Linked DNA regions of Coturnix japonica. Each later gene encodes a partner of the first gene's protein in a complex. Links are inferred from orthologs where the notes say so. Each region holds a gene or a part of one and is shown on either strand. Other genes may lie near its edges. The genes, in order: NSMCE1 and NSMCE2.

Evidence for each region.
Region 2: NSMCE1 (region 1) and NSMCE2 share a complex: the UniProt entries of both Homo sapiens proteins name them as parts of the SMC5-SMC6 complex. The link is inferred for Coturnix japonica from reciprocal best matches to the Homo sapiens genes NSMCE1 and NSMCE2.

Annotation. Positions count from the first base shown.
Region 1 is NC_029529.1:7,177,651-7,182,208, forward strand, and holds the start of NSMCE1 (non-structural maintenance of chromosomes element 1 homolog), read right to left. Parts: upstream 2,813-4,558; 5' UTR 2,798-2,812; coding exon 2,674-2,797; intron 2,230-2,673; coding exon 2,108-2,229; intron 1,545-2,107; coding exon 1,467-1,544; intron 895-1,466; coding exon 748-894; intron 562-747; coding exon 445-561; intron 1-444. Other genes in the region: IL4R (interleukin-4 receptor subunit alpha), read left to right, coding at 2,854-2,862, 2,955-3,460. UniProt on the Homo sapiens protein: RING-type zinc finger-containing E3 ubiquitin ligase that assembles with melanoma antigen protein (MAGE) to catalyze the direct transfer of ubiquitin from E2 ubiquitin-conjugating enzyme to a specific substrate.
Region 2 is NC_029517.1:125,030,532-125,035,042, reverse strand, and holds the start of NSMCE2 (E3 SUMO-protein ligase NSE2), read right to left. Parts: upstream 2,876-4,511; 5' UTR 2,782-2,875; intron 482-2,781; 5' UTR 467-481; coding exon 334-466; intron 1-333. Other genes in the region: WASHC5 (WASH complex subunit 5), read left to right, coding at 3,056-3,241. UniProt on the Homo sapiens protein: E3 SUMO-protein ligase component of the SMC5-SMC6 complex, a complex involved in DNA double-strand break repair by homologous recombination. Is not be required for the stability of the complex.

The DNA.
Region 1 (4,558 bases):
AAATGCTGAGCTATTCGGCTGCAGTAAATGAGAGCAATTAGGATGGAAAAAGTAATGTTAGGGAAGGAAGCTGGGAAGATGAAGATTCAAGGGCAAGGAGCAAGAGGATGTAATCGTTGTAGAACAGGTTCTAATCTCTTATGCAAGACTAAATTGGAAACTTACCAGCTATCATCACACAGTGCTTTAGGAAACTATGTATAAATACACATTCATTCTCAAGTCCACGGTGGTCAATTCCTGAACTGAAATCCCACAACCAAAGTCGAATGTGTGTCATATGGAAGATTACAGTTATTTACATTATACTACATTATAAACGTAATATTACCAGATTACAACGTTGGAATTTTCACTGCCTGCCTAATACTTGAGGGAAAGTGTCACAAGCTTCCACTATGAAAGAAACCCATTTGCAGATACTGAGTTAATCAGATGCATTACCTGGATGGCAAGGCTGTGACAGATATTACACTTCTTTGCTATATCTGGGTAGGTGCTGAGAATGTATTGTTCCATCTCCATTATGCAGCGGGTATGCAGAGTATATTCCCCATTTCTCTGTGGAAACAACAACTGAGATTAGCAATATATCTTAGTTCCTTTCTTCATTTTGGACTTTTCTCACCACCTCTTAGCAAGCACCTGACATTCAAGGGGGTTTTTTCTGCTTCTGCCACAACATCCACGAGAAAATAACATCTGAACCTATTAAAGCACAAGCACTTAGAAAGACAAAGCAGTTACCTCAGAGAGCCACTTATCATCCACAAAAACTTTCAGCACTTGTTCCGCTTCCTTTTTCTTCATTTTCTTTGTCTTCAGTTGGTCAGCACAGTTTAAAATATCCGTAGAAGAGGCAAAACCATTTTCTGATAAAATGATTAAATCCATCTATAGAAAGAGACATTTTCAGTTATTAAAAAGACTGTGCAATTAGATAGACACACCTTATGGTAATGTACAGCTTTTTCAGCATCTGAACATAAGCATAAATTGCCAATTTTCAGAGTTTCTCTCATTGGGAACATTCCTGCTGCACATTATCACAGAGCAGAAAGCAGACTTGATGTGCTGGTGGTAATATGTGCCATGATTACACCATCTCTGCAGCGCAGACGTGGCTGTATAGATGCTACCTCAATAACGGCAGTGTGGATTCTGAATAGTATCAGTTTAGATGACACTGCAGCAGCTGTCCCAGAACAGTCAATAACCTCCCTTTCTAGTTTATTAAATAAAACATTAGAATACAGTATTTAAAAAAGCTAATTCTCTTTAAGAGGAGAACCATTACTTGTATATATTCCCATTTCCCTCCCTGCCCCATTTCACTTAGGATAAAATTTCAATTACGATATGCAAGAAGGCAACTAATTCTTGAAACACATCTCAGATTTCCATTCATTTTAAGAGAGTGCCTTCACAAATGATGTTATTTACTAACTAACATCAGTCATACTTACTGTTTTTCTGAACAATTCGAGTTCATTTTCTGCATAGTCAGATGCCATTTTAGTAATTTCAGTTTCTGCCATATTCACCTAGCAAAAAAACAAAAAGTGAAAGATCCTCCAAAATAAGGGATACATCATCTTAAAATTAACAGAAATATCATTTCTTTAAGTGCCATGAAAGAGGCTATTCCTGCTAAATAAATCAGATGCTGGTATGGGCTTTGCTGCCATGTTCCCTTCCCACACACTTACACTGTTGGCAGTTTATCTTCTCACTTCCCTGCTCTACAAGTAGATTCCACAGCTGTTGTCAGCATAACAGTGCAACAGCCCCCCAAAAAATGAAGATGTGCTAAGGGCACATCTCATGCTGGCAGATGTAGCCCTTTGTTCTATGTTCTAATGCAGGAGTTGTATTACATTGTAAGGAAAGATCCTAGATAAATCAATTTTACTAACATCCAAAGATAACACTTAGCTCCAGTTCAGTTTTTTGCCCAGTTCACCCACCTTTTGTTGTGCTTTTATTAACACGTTATTGAATGGTTAACGTTACATCAGACACATGGCAGAATCTCAGCAGTGTATCCATCCATGTTACTCGTTATGAGAAGCTAAAACCACCAGATGGCAGCACCTCACATACTTACCAAGGCATAATGAGTTTTCCCATCAACTTCAGACATTCCTTTCCGGATCTGCATGAACAAAGGCTGTAGCTGGTTGTTGATGGTACTGACAAAATCATCCAGTTTATCTTGTGCATAGTAGACTGAAAATAAGAAAGAAACACAGAGTTCAAACAGGCCCATTAAGTGCAATTAATGTAACTGATTTCTTATCAACAACAAATTCCTTGTTTCTTTGTTTTCTGATTCATAAACTAGTGGTAAGTTGGCACACCCAGCCAACTTACCACAGAACATCTTAGCTTTGTAGTCATACTTAATATTGTGTGTCCGACTTCATAAGCAAATGAAATAGTATAAGTTTTAGCAAAGACACAATTCAGGCACAGGAACAGCACCATTCTCCCAAGTTTACATCCAAAACTCGACTTTGGGCATTAAGCAGCAGCTCATAACTTGATGTTATTATGGAAAAGCAGCAGAGTACTGGGGTCTGCTTCACTGAGTAACTAATGTCCATGTTTTAAACATACATAACCTAAAGAATCTCACGTCTCTCCACGTTTCTTTCCAGAATAATGACCCACCTTTGCTGATCTCACAGCAGTGCCTGTGTAATTTCCTCGCCTCCGCTCCCTCCATGATCCCGTGTGACATCAGGACCTGCAAGAACCTTCGATGGGCATCAGACATCTGAGCTGCCGTTGCCATGTTCCTCCAGGCTTCAGATGCTGCAAAACATCAACTGCAATTAACACAGCGTGCAGATGAACAAGGTACATTCTGAGCACAAGTAGCATTTCAATTCAACTCCCTAATTACTGGGCCGCTGCCCCCCCCCGCACCCCTCAACCTCTGGCTCTTACAGCCTGCTCCGTGCTCCGTGCAGCGGCTCCAGGTCGGACACGAAGGGCAGCAGGAAGGTGGAGATGAATGGCAGCAGGAAGGCCTGTGTCTGCTCGTCCTTCCAAGACGATCAGCTCAGCTCTCGCCGCTCCCTCCTGCCATCGATCCGCTCAGCGATCTCCGCGGCCTCCTCCGCTCAGCGGTGATGGCGCCCCCTTGTGGCCGGGACGGGCTGTGCGGGGCGGGGGCGGTGCGGGAGCTGAGCGGAGGGGCGGGGAGGGGTCCGGCCCCGCCCGGCGGCGGAAGCAGGGTGGGGTGGTGGGGTGTCGAGATTCGCTTCGGGTTCGGTTTGGCAGGATTTCTCCGCGGTGGACTCCGACCGTGTAGGGCGGCAGGTCCGGTCCGGTCCCCGTCGCTGCGTGCCGGTACCCGCCGATACCCGTCCTGGGGCGGCGGTTCCGCTGTCGGCGCTGCCCGTGACGGCGGAGTTGGAGCCGCTCCGAGGAGCCCCGTGGGTCCGCGTTGTGTGTAAGTGCTGTTCATTAACCGCTGCCGGAGCTCCGTCCCGTGGGCAGTTCCGACATTGCTCCGGCCGGGCTGAGCGGACCGGGGCTGCCCAGGGTCCCGTCGGGGCTGCGGGGGTCCCCGCGCTGAGCGCTGTCACTGAGCGCCGTTCTCCGGCCGCGTGTGCCGCTTTCGGGGCATTTACCGCAGTAGAATTGCTCGGAAGGGATGAGGAAGGTTTGTCTGAAAGGCGGATTTCATTCTTTAACAGTTAGTCCCAATCCGTGTGTATTCAGAGAGCTTAAGGCCACTTTGAGATAGGCTCGAAAGCAGATAGCAGAATCGGTGGAGCAGGGCGAGCGGTTCCGGGAGCTGAGCCCCGACTCCCCCCTTCCTGCTGGAGTTTCCCTGGCTGCGTTCCCTGATGAGTTTCCGCCATGCTCAGTTTCATGGGGCAAGTTGGAGTGACGCGTGTGTAAAAGGCTCCAGGAACAAAACACGTGTGTGAGCTGAGCTCCCACTCATGACAGCCTGCGTGGATTCCCGGTTTGCCAACGAGGAGCAGCAGGTTGGTTCCCTCTTCCCTCGCAGAGGCCAAGTGATGTTTTCATTGCTGCTGCCTCTCTCAGCTCCTTCCCTAGAGCTTATAAATTCCAAGGGTAGCACTGTGTTCTGCTCCAAGTTGTCCTGGTGTTGTGCCCAGTTCTGGGCTCCTCACTTGAAGAAAGGCAGGGATCACCTGGAGAGATGCTGGCAGAGGGCCTGGGGGGTGATGAGAGCCTGGAAGCATCTCTAGTACCTAGTGAGGGATAGGAGACCTGGGGCTGTTCAGCCCAGGGAAGAGAAGGCTGAAAGGGGATCTCATCACTGTTTATAAATGTCTGAAGTACAGGAATCAAGTCAGTGGGGGTAGGCTCCTTTCAGTGGTGTGTAGCAGCAGAATACAGGGCAATGGGCACAAACTGGAACACGAGAATTTGCATATTAACAAGGAAGAGTATACAAGGAAAAGCTGTTAGAGTGACAGCACTGGAACAGGAAAACACTTTTGAGTTTTCCCCCTTTGTGTTGGCCTTACAGTCTCTCCCATTAGCGTTTCATCAAAGCTGTGGATTAGTTCCA
Region 2 (4,511 bases), on another chromosome or scaffold:
TATTAGAAAGAAAAGTGGTTTTATTCACCTTAAGAGGTCTTCTGCATCTTGTACAGCAATAATGAATTTTTTACAAAGTAGTTGGATAATGAGCACCAGAATGTAATTAGTCTTGGGTGTTACAAAAGCTGGGACAATGTTTGCTTGGTAATTCTATTCTCATTGAATTTGTTATTGAAGACAATTAGGTGACTGGAATGAAAACACTCAGTAAAGCCAGAAGAGCAACAGCTCCCACAATGAAGACAAATGATTATAAATAAATCAAAGTATGCAGGCCCAGGATTAATTCAGGATGCAATACAAAAGAATATACTCAGAGGAATTACTTACTGAAATTTTCCACCAGGTCAAGGGCAACGTGGGTAGCAATATCCATTCCAGTATTTATGTAAGTCTGGCAGCTTTTCAGAGATGAGAGAGAGGAATTCACGGAGCTGAACGAGATCCTTGTACCCCTCAACATCTTGGAGTTGTTACCCTAGAAGTAAGAGACAAAACATTTTGAGTGTAGTTTACATCCAAAGAATTTTGGGGAGAAAACCGAACTGCAGATAGCTCACCATTAAGCACGGTTAACAGGACCGCTGAAACATCAGAGAGCAAGGATAAATCACAGAATCATAGAATGGCCTGGGTTGAAAAGGAACACAGTGATCATATAGTTTCAACCCCCCTGCCATGTGCAGGGTCACCAACCACCAGACCAGGCTGCCCAGAGCCACATCCAGCCTGGCCTTGAATGCCTCCAGGGATGGGGCATCCACAACCTCCTTGGGCAACCTGTTCCAGTGTGTCACCACACTCTGTGTGAAAAAACTCCTAATATCTAACCTAAACCTCCCCTGTCTTAGTTTAAAAACCATTCCCCCTTGTCCTAAGTGTAAGTGGTACTGCAAATCACCAAAGGGGTTTTTATCCTTCTTATTCAAAATTAAGCTCAGCTGCACCACAAGAAGCAACTTGCAGTTTTCACCTGCTTATTTCTATTGCAAAACCTCATAGATGTTAGCCTGAAAATTACCGCTCAACTTCAGATCCAAAAAAAGTCCACGTACCCAAAAGTCAGCCTGTTTTCTAGACACGTTATCAGCTACGCTAACAAGAACTATGACTTTCCACATCAAATTCAGCCCCTCCAACAAGCCTGTTACAACAGCTATTACTTGGAAAAAAATAAAGGGCAACTTATCTAATAATGCATTTAACAGTAAATCATCTTTATGTAAATAGTAACTAGGATTTCCAACAGTTACGCTGAGACCATACTGGGGAGCAGGAAGAGAAAAGAACCCACAACCAAAATTGATTTATAGTAGAAATTTTATCAAAACGGTACACAAAATGACAAGAGAATGAGTTGCTGTATGAACAATAGCTTGTGAAAGGCCAAAATCCAACAGATATAAGGACAAAGCTTTGCCCCAAGCCTTTCACACTGGCATCTCCCTCTTCTACTTACCCTGGGATTCCATAACTAACTCTTGCACTCATCCTAAAGTGAACAACATTGCTACGTTCCTCATGATCATGCAAATTATAAGACCTGAACACCTGCTGTCACGCTGTCTTCTCTGGGATAAGAAACAAAGAAGTAGTGAAGAATTAAACAGGCTTCTTCATTCTCTTCGTATTTGTGGAAGCACTGACCAAACTATATGGGAGCTACAGTTGTCATTTACACTGCTACATCACACCACTGCACTGGGAGTTAGACATCTCAAGTCGACTTTGGAAGGCAATTTAAGTACACTCAGACAACACTGTTGTTGCTGTTTACACCTCACTTCTGGAAAATATAATGAGGCAAACTGATCTGAAAAAGTGAGAGTAGAAAGTCAGTTGTTTTTGTTCTTTTGACAAAAACAATCCAATAGTCATAGAACCATGGAATCCTAGAATGGCTTGGGATGGAAGAGACCCCAAGGATCATGTAGTTCCAACCTCCCTGCCTGGCAGGGCCACCAAACATACACCTTTACTAGATCAGGTTGCCCAGGGCCCCGTCCAACCTGGTCTTGAACACCTCCAAGGACGGGGCACCCACAACCTCCCTGGGCAGCCTGTTCCAGGGCCTAACCACTCTCCTAGTGAAAAACTCCCCCCTAACATCCAACCAAAATCTTCCCTCTTTTAACTTAAAACCATTTCCCCGAGTCCTGCTATTATCAGCCCTTTCCAAGAGTTTACTCCCCTCCTGGGAGTAAGTTCCCTTCAGGTATTGAAAGGCTGCAATGAGGTCACCCCGCAACCTTCTCTTCTCCAGGCTGAACAAACCCAACTCCCTCAGCCTGTCCTCATAGGGGAGGTGCTCCAGCCCCCTGATCATCTTCCTGTCCCTCCTCTGGACCCTTTCCAAAATCTCCATATCTTTCTTGTACTGAGGGCTCCACACCTGGACACAGTACTCCAGATGGGGCCTCACAAGAGCAGAGTAGAGACGGACAATCACCTCCCTATCCCTGCTGACCACCCCTCTCCTGATGGAGCCCAGGATCCCATTTGCTTTCCGGGCTGCCAGAGCGCACTGCTGGCTCATGTTGAGTCTCTCGTCCATCAGGACCCCCAGGTCCTTCTCTGCCGAGCTGCTCTCAAGGACCACTCCTCCCAGCCTGTACAGGTGCCTGGGGTTCTTCCGGCCCAAGTGCAAAACCTTGCACTTTGCCGTGTTGAACCTCATTAGGTTCACCCGAAACGGCACCGAGCCCCGCTTCCCAACCCCCCCCTCACCCCCCATCCTCAAAGCAGACAGCCGAGCCCCCCGGGGCACCGGCCGCTCACCTCGTCCCCTCCGCCGAGGCCTGACCGAGGCAGCGGGGCGGAGCGATCGGCGGAACCGCCTCATCATCCCGCGCCTCTGCGCGACGCCGCCGTCATGTGATGGGGCTGGGCCGAGCCGTTCCGCCGCCTGCCCCGCTCACCTGCTGCCTCCGCCGCTCCTGTTTTTTGTTATGAGCCCGTTTTCTCATTAGAATTCCTTCGCCCAATGACCTAAAAGCCGACAGTCAAAAACAGGCAGCAGGACTCGTGCTGTGTGTCCGCATCCAGCTCCACAATGGTGGATTTCCTTGCTGAAAACAATCTGTGTGGTCAGGCGATTCTTCGGATCGTCTCCTGTGGCAATGCGATCATTGCAGAGCTCTTAAGGCTTTCCGAATTCATCCCCGGGGTTTTCAGGCTGAAGGACAAGGCTGATCAACAGAAGTATGGAGACATCATCTTTGATTTCAGTTACTTTAAGGTAAACCCCTTTCTTCTGTTGGTAAACTTCTCTGTAAAGCGTTGTTGTCCTGGTAGAACATAAGGCTTACAAAGCCAATACCTGACTATCGTGTTTATTACTAATAAGCTTCAGAATTGACCGTAGTGACCTGTTATTGCTGCAGTCCCCCTGTACTCAGCACTTGTGGGGCCTCACCTCGAGTACTGTGCTCAGTCCCTACAAGACAGACATTGAGGTCCTGGAATGTGCCCAGAGAAGGGCACAAATCTTATGGGGAGCAGAGAAGGGAACTGAGATTGTTCAGTCATGGAAGAGGAGGATCAGGGGAGACCTTATTGCTGTCTACAACAGCCTGAAAGGAGATTGTGGTGGGGTGGGAGTCATCCTCCCAGGTAACAGTGATAGGCTGACAGGTTTTTAACAGGCTCATGTTGCACCAGTGAAGGTTCAAGCTGAATATTAGGAAAGAATTCTTCCCAGAAAGAGTGATGAGGGATTGGCACAGGCTGCCCAGGGAGGTGGCGCAGTCCCTGTCCCTGGAGGTTCTGAAGAACAGGGTAGATGTGGTACCATGGAACATGGTTTAGTGGGTGTGATGGTTAGGTGACCTTCATGGTCTTATCTAACTTCTGTGATTTGCTTTGTGCTTACCAAAGATTTACCAAACTGAGGTAGTAACTGGGATGTGCTCGCATACAAACACTCCAGTTTTGGGCTGTCCTTCATTTTGTATAGTTTTGGTCATACTTAGTCTAATCTTACTTTAATTGAGGAGGAGTCTGGTGAGTGCTCTGTTCTCAGGCACCTGGGCAGAATAGCAGTATAACTAGTACCCACACATAGTTTTAGTGCTAAAAGGGAGTTACAATTTTGTGTATATTATGTAGAAGAACAGTCTTTCAGATGTATGAGGAGTCATCTGGCCTGTGAGTTTTGGCAAATACTGCTCATATAAGACTTGAGTTGTGGGTTTTCTTCTTGGATGTTATTCCTGAAGTAACTCTAAATGTTGCTTTCACCACCAGGTTCTGAGCCTGTGCAGTGGGTTGGGTTTTCTGGAGCAGTACTGTGGGCAGTATGCCCATCTTCCTTTGGTTATCTGTAGCTTATTCTTTGCAGCTGTGAAAGCTGCTTCTTGCTTTCCTGTTGGACAGTGCTGTGATTGTTCACTCCCTGGAAGTGTCACATGTGCTGAATCAACAAATGAAAAGCAGTGAGCATGACAAGTCCTTGTTTTCCTTACATCTTGCTAAAAGCTTAATCCCTCTATCATTCACCAGCATGATTT